Linked DNA regions of Caenorhabditis elegans. The protein of the gene in region 1 interacts with the protein of each later gene in a pairwise test. Each region holds a gene or a part of one and is shown in the gene's direction. Other genes may lie near its edges. The genes, in order: ccz-1, col-20 and R02F11.1.

What was found.
Region 2: the proteins of ccz-1 (region 1) and col-20 interact in a two-hybrid assay, tested with the Caenorhabditis elegans proteins (one large-scale study listed by BioGRID).
Region 3: the proteins of ccz-1 (region 1) and R02F11.1 interact in a two-hybrid assay, tested with the Caenorhabditis elegans proteins (one large-scale study listed by BioGRID).

What each region holds. Positions count from the first base shown.
Region 1 is NC_003283.11:13,676,893-13,682,885, forward strand, and holds ccz-1 (Vacuolar fusion protein CCZ1 homolog), read left to right. Parts: upstream 1-1,982; 5' UTR 1,983-1,983; coding exon 1,984-2,068; intron 2,069-2,114; coding exon 2,115-2,224; intron 2,225-2,273; coding exon 2,274-2,584; intron 2,585-2,626; coding exon 2,627-3,192; intron 3,193-3,355; exon of another isoform or gene 3,356-3,505; intron 3,506-3,891; coding exon 3,892-4,015; intron 4,016-4,072; coding exon 4,073-4,340; intron 4,341-4,388; coding exon 4,389-4,511; 3' UTR 4,512-4,647; downstream 4,648-5,993. Other genes in the region: tag-65 (CID domain-containing protein), read right to left, coding at 1-62, 112-236, 286-560, 610-962, 1,010-1,161, 1,212-1,352, 1,396-1,535, 1,591-1,690.
Region 2 is NC_003280.10:4,868,739-4,873,309, reverse strand, and holds col-20 (Nematode cuticle collagen N-terminal domain-containing protein), read left to right. Parts: upstream 1-2,518; 5' UTR 2,519-2,538; coding exon 2,539-2,602; intron 2,603-2,730; coding exon 2,731-3,533; 3' UTR 3,534-3,640; downstream 3,641-4,571. Other genes in the region: col-73 (Nematode cuticle collagen N-terminal domain-containing protein), read left to right, coding at 184-994, 1,047-1,093.
Region 3 is NC_003283.11:4,799,069-4,803,955, forward strand, and holds R02F11.1 (CC domain-containing protein), read left to right. Parts: upstream 1-2,025; 5' UTR 2,026-2,079; coding exon 2,080-2,161; intron 2,162-2,205; coding exon 2,206-2,373; intron 2,374-3,061; coding exon 3,062-3,342; 3' UTR 3,343-3,616; downstream 3,617-4,887. Other genes in the region: R02F11.3 (Cation efflux protein cytoplasmic domain-containing protein), read right to left, coding at 3,852-4,013, 4,199-4,617.

The sequences.
Region 1 (5,993 bases):
TACGTGCCTTTTCTTCCAAAAACTCAAGAGGGTATTTCAAGTTGGTCGGATCTTCGGTGATTCTGTAAATAATTAATTTAATAAAAAATTGAATTGATTTTGAGAACGTACGCTCCATCGGCCAAAGCAATATCCATTTCGACACCTTTGTGGAACATATTCTTAGCAGCAAGTAGTCTTGATGACGGTGGAACTGATGCTGGCATTTCAAGTTCTTCTGGGTCCAATGGTTCATACTTGAATCAAATAAAATATAAATTGACAAAATATCGGATCATAACATACCATGACACTATTCATCGAAACTAGTGGAGTCATAATTCCAGCCGGTAAAGCCATATACGATTTCTGTGGCTTCAAATTTTCCTCATCAAACGGCATTCCATCAATATCTTCTCCATCGTCCTGCTGGTCATTTTGATTCCATGTGTTCGAAACAGAAGCGTGTGGTCGTTCAGCTGAATGTTTTGGAGCTTGATCAAATCTTGATCTTCTCATGTTTGACAGTGGAGCATTAGGATGATGCGATGCAGGTCCGGATGATGGCCCATGACGAAACTCTGTAAGAACCAATTTTTAAAATTTTCAGACTAAATTTCTATTTCTCACCATCAATTTTTCTCTCAACTTCGTCAATTTGTCTTTGAATATGCTGGGAATATGTGACATGCTGTTGTTCATATCCATCAAACGTTGCCATCAGATTACTTCGAATCGACTCCCGAATTGTTCCATAAGATGATTTTTCAATTTCTCTGTCAGTGCTAACAATTTGAACTGTATTCCTGAGTTGTTTGAATACAGAATCAGCGAAATATTGTCGACCTTCCCATTCTCCTAAAAGCTTTCCTTCTAACTTGTTGCTCAACTCACTCGACGAAGAAAGTTCTATACAATATGCATACATTTTTGGAACGTATCGAGCCAGCATTTTCATTTGATTTTCTTCTTTTTTTCTTTGACTGAAATTTGGTATTTAACGACGTTTTGTTCAGTATTCTAAGCTTACCAATGAAATGCCCAATCATTGATTAAATATAGAATATGAAGTCGTAGATATTCTCCAGATGCTTCATCTTTAACTTTATTTAACAGAAAAGACAGTATTATTTCTCTCAGCTGATCGCTTGTGCAGTATTCGAAAATCCACTTTTTCGCTTGCTGAAGAAAATTTTTCGTCAAATTTCTTTATTTTTTGAAAAATTACTTACTGAAATCAAATCTTTAGAGCATTTCGGTGTAGCCATTGCATCTAAATAGGAATTGAGATCTTCCACGTTCAGATTATTCTGACTCAACATCTTCTCAATTTTCATTGTTTCAGAAGTTCGAATAGCAGATTTAAGATGTGCCTGGATAAACGTGGATACAAGATTGTATGTTTGCAAAACACACCATTAGGAGCTCGTCCATTCCATTTCTGTGAGCGTTCAAATTCTGCTCACTGTCGATAATCTTTTGACGTAACTCATCGATTTTCTTGCGCCATTCGACAATCTCTGGTGGATCCATCAGAGAAGGAATCGACTGCCGTTCTGAAAAGTCAAAAATTAATGATTTACAATCTTGAAACGTTTAAAAGATTCAAACCTGGTGGAGGGAAGTCCCTAGGGAGTGGAATATCGCCACTGCGCCATGATTGACCGTGCTGAGAGCTACTGCCACCTCTCCAGCTAGAATTTTCATTCATGTCGTCTAAAAGTTATATGTTTATATGATCAAATATTTTATCTCTTTCTTGTGACAAATAAACAATATATATATTCTGCATGGTTTTGCAGAAAATTTGCGGAGGATTTAAAAAATAAATCGAGACATGCGCCAGTGATCAAGTTTTGCGTCAGTGAACAACGTTTGCGTCAATCATTTATGTCTGCTACCCTCCTAGTCTCACACACTCTTTTTCTCTCTTTTATTTTATTTTATTTTTAATTTTAATTTTAACACTGCACGGTACAAAACATATATTTTGCTTTTTTCAGAATGGAGTCGATTGCAAATCCATTGTATTTCTTCTCCAACTTGTCATTAAACCCGCCATCCTGCTCTAATGTGGTCAGATTCATTGGTAATTGAATTTTAATTAAAAAAACGAAATAATTATGTTTTTACAGATGTCCTTGAATTCTTTTTCGTGGCGCATCCATTATCAGGACGAAAAGAAGGCGAAGAACATAATCGTGTGATGTATTTTCATCCGAAAGGCGAGCAATTAGAGAGACAGGTTTTCAATATCGTAATACTTTTTATTCTAATAACTGTATTAATTTCAGACCGAAATAACAGGATTCGCAGAAGCCGTTGTTAACTTTACAGAAAATTTCTTGAGCACCTCCCGTCGGGAAATCAGTGAAAGAATTAGTGAAAATGAAGATGGTTTCGATTTCCGAACTGTGACGACGCAGAGAACAGAGCACGTTTATATTCGTACAGAAGACGATCAATTTATTCTTGGAGTATCAATTTCTAAACAATTATCATTGGTTTCTGATTATCCTCTATTTCAACCAGCGATTAGGAGTATACTTTCCGATGCCTACAAAATGTTTCGAATGTTTTTTGGAACTTTTTCTTCTTTTATCAAGTAAGTTAAAGTCTAGTTTATAAAAATAAAAATATCTTTCAGAAATGTTCCCGACGACATTCCAAAATTCAAAGAACGCCTTGATTTTTTCTTCTCCAAGTACATCCCACTACTGAAAGTTCACAAAATGCCACTACTTGATCATCTTGGAGGCGTCGAATTTCTACGAATGTCTGGTCCTCTCTACTTGAACGTTGTTTCTTTACTTTCCGAACTTCGTGAAGAATTCCAAGTTATCGAGAAAATAATGTTCTTGTATCAAGATAAACTTCTCTACTATCAACTTTCGAAACGCGATCTTCCATCACTATTTCATTATTTGACACATAATTTGCTTCCAACAACATTGGCTCCAGAACTTGAACATTCTGGAAGAAATGCTTCAAAAGGAAGATATCTACGAGGACCAACAGATTTAACAACAGATGCTCCGTTGCTCGGTGATGAGTCACTTTCTGTAGTTCATTTGCATTCCGATCAAGGAACTGAATTTCAAGAAGAACTCATCGGATACCAGATGATCGTTTATCGATGTCTAAATGCAACAGTTTGCATGTTTGTCAGAAATTGTCCAGCAAATGGTGGATTAGAAATCAGAAGGGATTCTGGTGAGTTTTTAAAAATAGTTTTTCGAAACGAAACGTTCTTATTACGTTTTGAGAATAAATTGAAAATAAAAAAGCGATTTTCAACTCTTGCTAATCTGCTAATTTGAATTGCCGCTCTTTTGTATCTAAAATCCACCCGTAGAACCGTGCCGCGCCTCGTTTTTTTGCAATTGTACCGCAAATTTGTCTTTTTGTGTTGTTTTTTTATTCTTAATATAGAAAAATGGCATAAATGATCAAATATATTTTTTTGTATATCAAAAGAATTAAAAAATCGTATCGAACCCGAAAAAAGTACATGTTCCTGAAATTCTAAACACAAGGAAACGTTTTTAAAAATGATTTCTAAATGCTTTTGAAATAGGAAAAATATTTTTGAACATTTTTGAATTTTTCTTCATTAAAAATTAGTCAAGAAACACAAAAAAGAAGAATTCGTGTCGAAATTGAAAAAAAAAGTCGAAGTGCGGCACGGTTCTATGGGCGGAGTTTAGAGACAAAAGCGTGGTAATTCAAATAAAGGGATTAGCAAAAGTTGAATTTTCATCAAAATCAGATTTTTTCCAAATTTGGTGGATTTTTCTCATCTTTCTTATGTGATATTTCGGCACATTAAACTACTTTTAAGGTAATATCTACATTTTCCGAACTCCACCTTTAAACAAAATAAATCTTTTTCCGACTTATTTTCTTTTCCAGAATCATCTCAATCATCTCGCGCCACTCCTTCACAGAATGGTGTTGTCAGTCGTCGACTTCTTCGAAATATTGATCAGTTTTTGGAAACCGAACTTTCACAAGTAGCGAGTAAAATTGGTGACGAGTAAGTTCAAACTTACATTATATCACAATAAATTCCATTAAATTCCATTAATTTCAGAATCGGCGACGAAAAGTTCCCGGAAGCTCCAGATTTCCATTACATTTACTTCAATCCATCATCGTTATCCATGACCTCAAGCCTTTCAACATCTCCGAAGCTTCCCGTTGCCGCTTCTGGATCTAATTCAACATTAAAAGTACCACTGCCACCAGTTGATGTTAATCGTTTAGTATGTGATACAATGAGCAATTTTGTGTCGGAAACTGAAGAATTTGGTGAATGTTTCGTCAAATCTTCAAGTGATTGGTGGATTGTTATCAAAAAGGTAACAACATTCTTGGCAAAAACAAAATTCAATGTTTTTATTTTTCAGGTTAATTCTCGCCTCCTTGTCTTAATCATTCCTCCATCCAACTACACATCATCCCTTGCCGATGTCCAATCAAAAACTGCAACAATTGTTCGATCCCATTTCGAAGCCATATTTTTTAGTTGATAATATTCATATTTTCCCATGCATGTGTGCCAAAATTTTGTGATATTTGCCTATAATTCAATTCCGTTGCCTTGTACTTTTATATCTTATTCAATTTTTTCTACAGATCTATATTTATATAAAGCTTTTCAATTTTAGAACATGAGAAACATGTTGGGCTCCACATATACTGCCGGGGAATTTCGAAAATCGGATGAGTGCCCTTTGATGCTGAAAATTAGATTTAGTCAAAAGATCTGATCATGCTCCCCCTCGACCACTCCGACGGCTCCTTTGCTCTTTTTCCACACGATTTTCGACATTTTCTTCAAATTTCTTCTTTTTCTTCTCTCTTCAGCAAAAAGCTTTTCATTTTAATAATCCAATTGACTTTTGAAATTTCCCCCCCCCCCCCGCACTCTCATGACTTCTTGCCAAAAATTTATATATATATTTCTGATGTTTATATGTATATGTGTCGTCAAGGTGACAAATGCATGTACATTTTATAAGGGAGGTCTGAGAAGAGAACCACCAAGAAATAAAGTGGGTGGAGTTTCTTAAAGAGGCAAGAAGGCAATGAGATGGAGGGGCAGGTGAGCATATTGAAGGGAAAACGAATTTATTGCTCTCTCGATATTGACTCTCGGGGACCTTCATTTACCCTCTTTTTGAATGAGATTTTCTTTTGCCCAAGTGAGATTTCGTCTCGCCACGAGCGAAAGTTTTCAGCTACCGTACCCTCTAGTACTGTAAATTTTTAATTAAAAATGTCACTCAACAAATTTGTGGCCTTTCCATGAAAACACCCAAAAATCCGAGTAAGACAAGAATATAATTGATGAAATTGAGCAAAACACTCTCACAATCAGGTACATATGTACCAGGGATGCCACCAAAATTGTTTGACCAAAAAACAAAAAAAAACCTTTTTTTTTCAAAAACCCAAAAATTCAAAAACCAAACCAAAAAACAAAAAAAGAACATCTCTGTCGGTTCCTGTTACTGAAAACTTTCGCTCGTGTCCCAATGAGTTTGGGTACTATATCTATAGATCTATATATAGATTAATTATGGAGAAGCGGGAATGGTGATTTCGCTGTAAAATTCCCAGAAATATCAGACATTCAGAAATGTCACAAAATAAAAACTAAAAAATCTAGAAAGAATGGAAAATTCAACTTTTTGAAACGTTGTTTGAGTTCCCTCAAAGATGAGGACTGCAAGACCAATCAGCAACTTGCTCCGCCCACTCTTAAACCAATCAAACAGAATTGAAGAGCTCAAAAACACTAATTGGTTTGATAGTAGGCGTGGTTTCTCATTTTGGAGGAAATTCAAATTGGGAATTTAGCCAACATTGAAATGTGTTTTTCCTCTTGTCCAAAATTACTGAGTTTCAGACAGGTAAGACGTGCTCATGGAAGGCCATTTTTTCTAGCTACACAATAAAAATCTCGTGATCAGAAGGCTTTACAAAATTAATAAATCTGTTTGTCTAAT
Region 2 (4,571 bases), on another chromosome or scaffold:
TCTAGCTTCATCTTCTCATTTTATTCTCATTATTACTTCTAAATATTATTCTTTAATTATTTTTAATTAAATTTTTAAAAATAATCTAAACATTATTTTTTGTAGTTATAACTCTAAACAACTCTCATAATTTCTGACTTTCTGATTTCTAAACTTCAATCCATCATTTTCCATTGTTACAGTATGAGCCAAGACGATAAGCAAAAGCTTGTGGAGGTCGAGACCGTGAAGAAATTCGCGTTCTTCGGAATTGCAGTCTCCACTGTTGCCACTTTGACAGCTATCGTTGCAGTCCCAATGCTTTGCATGTACATGCAAAACGTTCAATCCGGACTTCAAGATGAGATCAATTTCTGCCGTACTCGTTCCGACTCTCTTCGTGGAGAATACACCAAGCTCGATCAATTCCGTAAAGCTGAGAGCCGTGAGAAGCGTCAAACCTACCAATGCTGCTCTTGCGGAATTGGACCAGCTGGATCCGTTGGAAACCCAGGACAAGACGGAGCCCCAGGAAATGACGGAAGACCAGGAGCCCCAGGAGCCCCAGGACCAGATGCTCCAAATGAGCACGTTCAACCAACTCCAGCCGATTTCTGCTTCGAGTGCCCACCAGGACCAGCCGGAAACGCCGGAAACCCAGGACCAAAGGGACCACCAGGACAGCCAGGAGCACCAGGAGAGCAAGGACCAAATGGACGCCCAGGAGCCCCAGGAGCCCCAGGACCACAAGGACCACCAGGAACCGCAGGAAATGACGGAACTCCAGGACAACCAGGAGCCCCCGGACAAGTCCGCACCGTCCCAGCCCCACCAGGTAACCCAGGACAGCCAGGAGAGCCAGGAGCCCAAGGACCACCAGGAGAGGATGGACGCCCAGGAAACTCAGGACCACAAGGACCACCAGGACCACAAGGAGAGCCAGGACAAGATGGAGCTCCAGGAAACCCAGGAGCACCAGGAGAGGCTGGAGAGCCAGGAAAGGACGGAGCCAAGGGTAAGTATTTATTCAATTTTTGTACATTTCTCTTATCATTCCCTAATTCCAGGAGGATGCGATCACTGCCCAATCCCAAGAACTGCTCCAGGATATTAATTCCTCAATTGCTATTTTCTTGCTTAAATTATTTCTCTTTCTCTCTACTTGTATTTATAATACCTGTCGAAACATTTCACGGGGCTCTTCAACAAGAAACCAATAAAACTATTGAAATTAATTGAACTTGTAAAGAGAATTGGATGAATAGGAAAAGAAAGGTGAAGAGATAGAAAGTGAAAATGAGTGAATGTAATGATGGACGGTCATTTAAAAGGAAGGTGACTCGTAAAACAAAACTATTATGATTCGTTTAAAGAACGGTGACAATGTGGAAAAATATTGGTAATAGAAATTATGAAAACACAAAAGTTAAAGAAGCTCTTCGATACGCTTAGTTTTGAGCTTAAGGTTTTGAAACTTTTTTTCGCGTTAACAAAACTTAATTCACACTAATGAATCAAAAAACTAATATTTGAAATTTAATTTTTTATAATTTTTAAAAAAATTCTTTACGGCGAATAAACTCTAGGAAGACCAAAACTTTAGAGTAGTTACCAGATGCGAAATTTTATAGAAACAATGGCAACGTTGAGCTGCGGAATGTAGGCCTCCAGCTAGTTGTGGAAAATACATCACGAGGCATAAATGTGATCAAAACCTGCCTGTAAATTTCAGTTTTAAAGTAATTTTTAATAAAAATTGAATTGTATACTTTTTTTGTGGACACTTTTTCAGACGAGGCTTTTTATCAACTTTTTTTGTGACCTCAACTAGTGGAAATTGGGAATGGGCACAAAAACATTTTCTGCAATTTGGTATTTGCCACTTTTGGAGCTGTCAAAAAAGAAATAGGCTTCTCACTCTTTCAGCAAACCGGAAAAGATCGAGCTCAAAAACTTGGCAGTTGTGAGGTAAAATTTCGGAAAAGTTAAATTGCAATGAATTTTAAAAAATGAATACCTGAAATGTTTTTCTGTCACATAACAAAAGCTCGTCCCTTTACCAAATTATAGATTTTGCAATGTTCTACTCGGAATTTTGGATTGCCGAATGGTATTATCTGGTTTTTATTGACACTCGCGAAAATAGGTTCTAAAAATCCTGAAACATTTTCAACAAAGGAAAAGTTTTATGTTGCTACCCCTATCAAATTTTAAGAAATAACTTCCGTCATTTTTCTATTTTCCATCACAACGGCACGATTGCCGATTGCAAGGAATGATAACAGTTCAGATCGGTTCGTTTTTCTGTTTTCTTTTTTCTTCCCAGGCAACGGTCTTCTACGTCTCCCTTCAAGCCAACCCCGAAAACCAATCAGCCCCCAAATTGTCGAGCGTCTCCAATTTTCAGATGATCCCTCTTCAAGCATCTTCTTTTTTTTCCTGGAAAGCCTACTCCCACTCTCCTATCTCTAGTAGTTACTGTACACCGACGCTATCGGTTCCCAAGCGAAACTATAAAAGAAGGGGTCGAAAGTTGTGGAAACCATCACACTAACGGACATGGCCGACGAGAAGTCAATCAAGTACGCTGAGGCGGATTCCGTCAAAAAATTCGCCTTCTTCGGTAATTATTTTTTAAAAATCAATTTCTTTGTTTTCAAAAACTTTAATATATTATAAGATGTTTAATATCATTTTGCCAAAGATTATCATAACTCCTATTATTCAATTGTTCACACTTTCATTTTCTAGGTGTGGCTGTTTCCACCATTGCCACCTTGACGGCTATCATTGCCGTGCCAATGCTCTGTCTGCACATGCAAAATGTGCAATCTGGCCTCCAAGAGGAGCTTGTCTTCTGTAAATCAAAGAATGCTGATCTTAAATCCGAATTCTTCAAGCTCGACAAGGTCCGATCTAACGCTGTTTCTGATCGTCAAAAGCGTCAGTCTGAGTACCAATGCTGTTCTTGCGGAATTGGAGCCGCCGGAGCCCCAGGATCTCCAGGAGAGGACGGAGCTCCAGGAGATGATGGAAAGCCAGGAAATGATGGAGAGCCAGGTCGCGATTCTACCGATAAGGACGAGAAGCCAACTGCCGCTGACTTCTGCTTCGATTGCCCAGTTGGACCAGCTGGACCAGCCGGAGGACCAGGACCAAAGGGACCACCAGGACCACCAGGAGGACACGGAGAACCAGGACCAGCTGGACGTGGAGGACCACGTGGCCCACCAGGACCAGGAGGACCACAAGGAGAGGCCGGAGAAGATGGAGGAGCCGGAAACCCAGGAACTCCAGGACAAGTTCGTTCTCTTCCATCCCCACCAGGAGAGCCAGGACAACCAGGAGAGCCAGGAGGTCCAGGAGAGCCAGGAGCCGATGGACGACCAGGACACCCAGGAAGAGCCGGACCTCCAGGACCACCAGGAGACAATGGACCAAACGGAGAGCCAGGAAAGGACGGGGAGGATGGAGCTCCAGGAGCCGCAGGAAACGCCGGAGCCAAGGGATCTTGCGATCACTGCCCACCACCAAGAACTGCTCCAGGATATTAGATTGTCTTTCTATGTTTTTAAATTCTTCTTTTCTTTCTGGTCGTTTATGTTTTTCACTCAAAATGAAGAACTTTCGAGTATATTAGTTGATTCGAATTATCATATAAGTGTGTTTTCAAAAAAGTTTAGTTCAACAACAGGAAGTTTCTTTCAGAAGCGATTTCAAACTTGATAAGAAGATACGGTAATAGTTCTAATGACCATTGAAATAGTTGTAGGAAACCATTTATGTCTGGTGAATGTGTTGCCATAGATACTACTACGTTTCATGTAATTTTCGATGAAGATGTCAGACTGGTCACAAATCCTTTTGATCTATAGGAAATGCGCTCAACCGAAAAATGATAAAAACCAAGTCATGTCGCTTTGATTCGAGATTCTTCTATAAATCTGAAGCGGTTTCCAAGAAGCAATTTAAGTCAAAAATAAATTTAGAAATATTGAAAAATATTTGATTAATTTAAAAATAATATTCCTAACTAATAAAATGTGCAAAAAAACATCTGAAAACTGGCTGAAAGTTGTCGAAATTTTGAGGGCCGTGTTTGAGGATTTTTCCAACGTTTTAAACATATTTTCCAATAAGTTGGATTGTTAAACTGAAAATTGACAATGTTCCTGGATATCCTGAAAAATGACTACAAGTTATGCTAACCATCTTTCAGATTTCAGGGGTTTTTCTTAAACTGTTATTTCTAATTCCAATTCAAAAGTTCAAAAAGAAGGGTGGTATAGTACAAGGCGTTCCATCTGCATTCCTCAAAAACCGAGACGTTCAACGATCATAGTGTAATACAGAAGAAGTCACGAAAAAAAGAGAGGGAAACCAACGAAAAAAAACTAAAACTTGGTCGCGATTTTCGATTTTTTCCTCTTTCTCCTATGTTCGTTTTTACCCTCATTGACGCCACAGAAAAAAACATCTGTGTTTGGGAATTTTAATTAAATTAATCAAATCTTCGAGAATAAGGTGAGACACAAAAGTGATTGAAATGAGGAGTGGAGATTTGTGGATTTGGATGCAATCACTATCACCTT
Region 3 (4,887 bases), 8.9 Mb from region 1:
AGATTATCCTGTTTACCTGCGTGCCTACCAGGGGTGTGCGGCAAATTTACCGAATTTGCCGAATTTGCCGAGCACGGGAAATTTCAAAAAAGTAGATTTGCCAAATTTGCCGAGCTCGGCAAATTTCAAAATTTGTCGCACACGTCAAAAATTTGACAGTACAATTTTGACTAAAACTATTGATTTTTTCGCCAAAAAATTACAAAATTGAGTTATTTAGATGCATAAGCAAACATACTACACGGAACTTATTCGGAATCCAGGTGATTGTTCAGAATTCAGTAGTTTTGGTGCTCCAAAAAGCATCAATGAGTATTAATTTTTTGGAGTTTGTTGAGCACGGCTAATTTGCCGTAGGTAGGCACTTTGATGCCTCGGCGTCCCATATGCAGAACAAGCTCAAAACAGACACAACTCTGGAATATGTACGGCAATTAAAACTGAGCTTTTTCTGCGTATCTAAAGGTCAGACACAGCAGTCCAGCTCCAATTTAAGCCTTGTTCGAGCCGGGGACTGTGACCAATAGTCCAGTCGTGGATTGCTCTACTTCCCACTTAAGGCTGGATGGACCTAGTGGGAGGTAGGACTTGAACTGGTGACCTCTAGATTGCTGGCGGCCACCACTGGTTCATTGTGTCCGGACCTCGATCGCGATGTCTCCACTGAGACATTATGCGTACATCTTAAGTTGTTCGAAGACTCTCGCATGACTTCCATGTTTCTTGTTCCAATAATTCCCAGACGTCACAAAGCATATTCCACGTGTTTTTTTTAAACCGCGTTTGGACGAGTGTTGGGAAAAAAAGAGAGTTGTGCTCTCATAATGGAGGTGTATTATGTGCTCACTTTCTCTCTGAGAAGTTGCCTCTTCAAGGATGATGGCTTCCCGTCTCCGGCCGTGGTCTACACCACCCGCGTGTGTTGCATCCCAAAACCGGATACTCTTACCTGCCGGTCAGTTGGCCCGGCAGCTCTCGCTGTCTCTCTGACGCCACCGCTGCCACTCGAGTGCACCGAGTATAAAGAGCACAGTGCTCCGACACTTTAGAGTCAAATTTTCTTCCGATGGCAAATCGGCTACTCACACATCAGGAACAGATTTTGCTCTGTTCTCTGTTTTTAAGATTTTCTAGACACCGTAGTTTCCCTATTAGACATGCAACCCTTGCTCTATTTTGTTATATCTCTGTTCCCTTCGGTTCTATCAAAAAACTGTCATTAACTGACAAAACACGTGCAAAATATTTATCTACAGTTAGACAGTAAACGCCGCTTAAGTAGATCAATGAGTTTCATGTCCAATATGCTAAATACGGTAGGAATCATTTTTTCAACTATTCTAATTTTTCTTGTAGCATTAAAAAAACTATCAACTAACATCCTAACTACTATTTAAGTATCAAGCATTGCAAAAATTTAAAGAAGCAAAAGGCTCTTACTATTAGAAAGCTATATGTTTTCCATTGACCACAGACTCCGGGCTTTTCATAAAAACCTTAGCAATCCGAATATAATTGGAAAGTTTCTATATATGCTTCAACCGTGATAAGATAAGTTGAACGACATTTTGACAAGCGCGCGCTCACAATCTTTTGGTGTATGTGTGTGTGTGTGTGTGGGGTCACTCAAGTATTTGAACATCAATCGTCCACTTCATTTTACAAACACATAGACTGGACTGAGCCCGATGGGGGAAATGAGAGAGTTTCGTGCCGCGCGCAAAGAGCACGTCGCCGCGCGGAGGCGCCAGAGTCTAAGCTAACACAGAAAGTCGGAGGGAGACGAAAAAGAGAAGACGGTCAGTTAGTGTCCCCTCCCCTCTCTCCTCACTGTTACGTACAAATGACCATTTAGTCTTGCTGCTCCATCGGGCTTCTCCTTGAGAACAAATCTTCAGATTTATTTTTGAGTTACCTTACTCTACCTACTAATTTTACAGTTTTACTTACATATTACTCTTTATTATTTATCTGAATCTTTATTAGTTTCCTGATATAATATTATTATTATTATTAAAATTTCAGGCCAGCGCAGGGTCAGGTGTTCCTACTTGTCTTAAAACCTTCAAATAACTCATTATGAAGCAACTCGCCATCTCCTTCTGCATTATCCTCCCCCTCGCCTGCTTCTGGGTACTGAACGCAGAAGACGCGAAAGAAGGTATGTTGTCACTCACTCTTCAACTCCTAAAATCCGACTTTCAGCTCCAGAAATTCGTGAAGCCAACTCCACAGTATTCCGTCAGAAGAGGCAGTTTGGATGCCCATCCAATTGCTATTCCTCATGCAGTTCCTCGTCCCAGTGCCAGAGATATTCTGTCGCATCTGTCTGTGTCCAAGGATGCTGTTGCCCAGGAAACAATAACCTTGATAGTAAGTTTTTTTAATATGAAGGTTGTGTAGGAAGTTGAAAAATTGCTTTTTTTCATAAATCAGAGATGTTAAAGAAAACGTCGCAATTATTAAAAACTAGGAGCGGGGATAGCTCAGTCGGTAGTATTGATAATTAGCAATCTAGAGGTCACGAGTTCAAGTCCTGGCTTCCCTAGGTTCAGTGTACCCAGATCCGTTCATATCGCTTAAGTAACGCATCGTCCTTTAACCCTTTAGTAAGGAATATGAGATAAAAGTTGAATGCTGACACCTTTAAAATTTAGATCTCCCTTAGTTCAAACCTCAAACCTTATCAAAATCATATCAAGAGATATCAAGAATCCAGTCACCGTTCCAATTTCTCAAGTGTCCCCGCCGTTCCCTTCCGGTTCGAGCAAACACACACACTGATTACCTAATGATTGCTACAACTCCCGGGGAGACGCTGCTTAGTCCCTTTTGCGGTGATGGAGACACCTTCTTATACGGCTCAACATAAATACAAAATATTTGCGAAGTTTCGCGGGGTGTTTGCGTTTGCTCGGTGCGTGCTGCTGTGCTCTGTGTCTCACGAAGTCGGCGCGGTTTGGACAACACGCACGAACCTATCTTTTTCTATCTTTAGCTCGTATCAGAACGAGTTCAAATATGGGTGTGGAAAGTCGTCTAATTCCAACAAAAATTTCAGCCGCCTGCTCCGGAGGACCAGCCGTCGCCGCCTGCCTCGGAGGACTCTGCGGACAAGGATTCTTCTGCTCGAGCAACAACTACTGCTGCAGATGCCAATCCGGAAACAGCACGGGACCATGTGTAAACCAGGTCTGCCCAACCGGATTCATGTGCAACACCAACAACTACTGTTGCCCACTCGGATCCGGAGGAGTCCTCGGATCATGTGTCAACGGAGTCTGCCCAACTGGATACACCTGTGGAGCTGGAAACTTGTGCTATTTGAGCAGTGGAAAGTAAAAAAATGGAATTCAATTTTTCCCTTTTTTCATGCGACAAATTGCCCCCAGTCTTTCTATATTTTTATATATTTTTTTAATATATTGTACTTTCCTTCTCCGTTCTCTGACTCTCTGCTCCTTTTAAATTATTCTAATCTATTTGAAACGAATCGTTCCCACCACCAAGACAACAACATCAACAACAAACGAAATCCCAAAAAAATATTTGAATTGTTTTTAAATTTAATTTGTTTATTTATTATTTTATTTTAATTAATGAAATAAAAAAAGAAACATTTGACACTCTACGACGATATGTGAGAAAAAATATTATAGTTTGCAAATCAAAATTTTCAAAATTTCAAACAAAAAAAAGTATAGTTAATTATGCGAAAAAAAAACATTGAGAGATGCTGATGATTTCTGTCATGAAACCGGAAAAATATGAAATAAAACTTAAAGTAGGGGGGCACTGGGAAGAAGAAAAAAACAAAATCATAATGCAAATGTGCTCTAATAATAACTAATTCAAACAATTTTATGCTCGTCGTGAGGATGATGATCATAATCATAGTCTGTATGAACAAATGCACGTTCAACTTCCGGCAAGCTTTCGATGTTTGATTGGAGGGTCTCACTGATGTCATGGGATTCTTTGAGGATCATATTCTCGTCGAGCACAATGTGCACCTGGAAATATTACAGATTTTAGAGTAGCACAATAATTCAGTTGTAAGCTCAGCCTCTTCAGAAATGTGCGATACGGGCTTATGTTAGGCCTAGGTGTAGGTTTAGGCCTAGGCTTAGGCTTGGGCTTAGGCTCAGGCTTAGGTTCAGGCTTAGGCTTGAAGAATCCAGAGAAAAAATATTCTTACCTCAACTAAAAACTTGCTTCCAAAATGGTACACATAAACCGTATCAATATGTGAAATCCGAGCATCATGATCCAAGCAGACTTTGATGATCCTATTAATGAACTCTGGCTCTGCAGTTTTACCCGACAGCTTTGCCAAATGCTCCCGTCCAGTTTGCACCCAGGTATACAAAATGTACATAGAAACCACAATAGCACCGGCTGGGTCAAAGTAGTACGAGTACTTGGTGCCGAGCCAGGCACAGATCAGGGCGACCGTGTTGGAGATGCAATCGTTGCGATGGTCCATTGCGAGCACGTTGACCGATGGTTCCTTGTATCGTTTACAGAATAGGTAGAGGGACAGCTTGACGAGAACTGTTGACACCATGATGACTACAGAGGTGATGGTGACGTTGAGCTTGGGTTCTTCACCGATTCCTGGAAATTTTTAGGATTGTAACTTAAAATCCATTGCTGAGGGAGGGGAGCATAGATTGAAGGATCAGGGAAGGATCAGAGGTAGAGCTAGTACATCCTGTAGGAAAACTTTGAATTCACTTTTTTAAAAATTTTATAAGTTCATCACTTTGTGGGCGAATATATTGAAGATTTCCTCCAAAACTGAGAACCGCAAGACTAATCAGCTCAGTTTCCAACCAATCAGACAAAATGAGTTCGAAGACGCTGATTGGTTCGAAAATTAGAAGG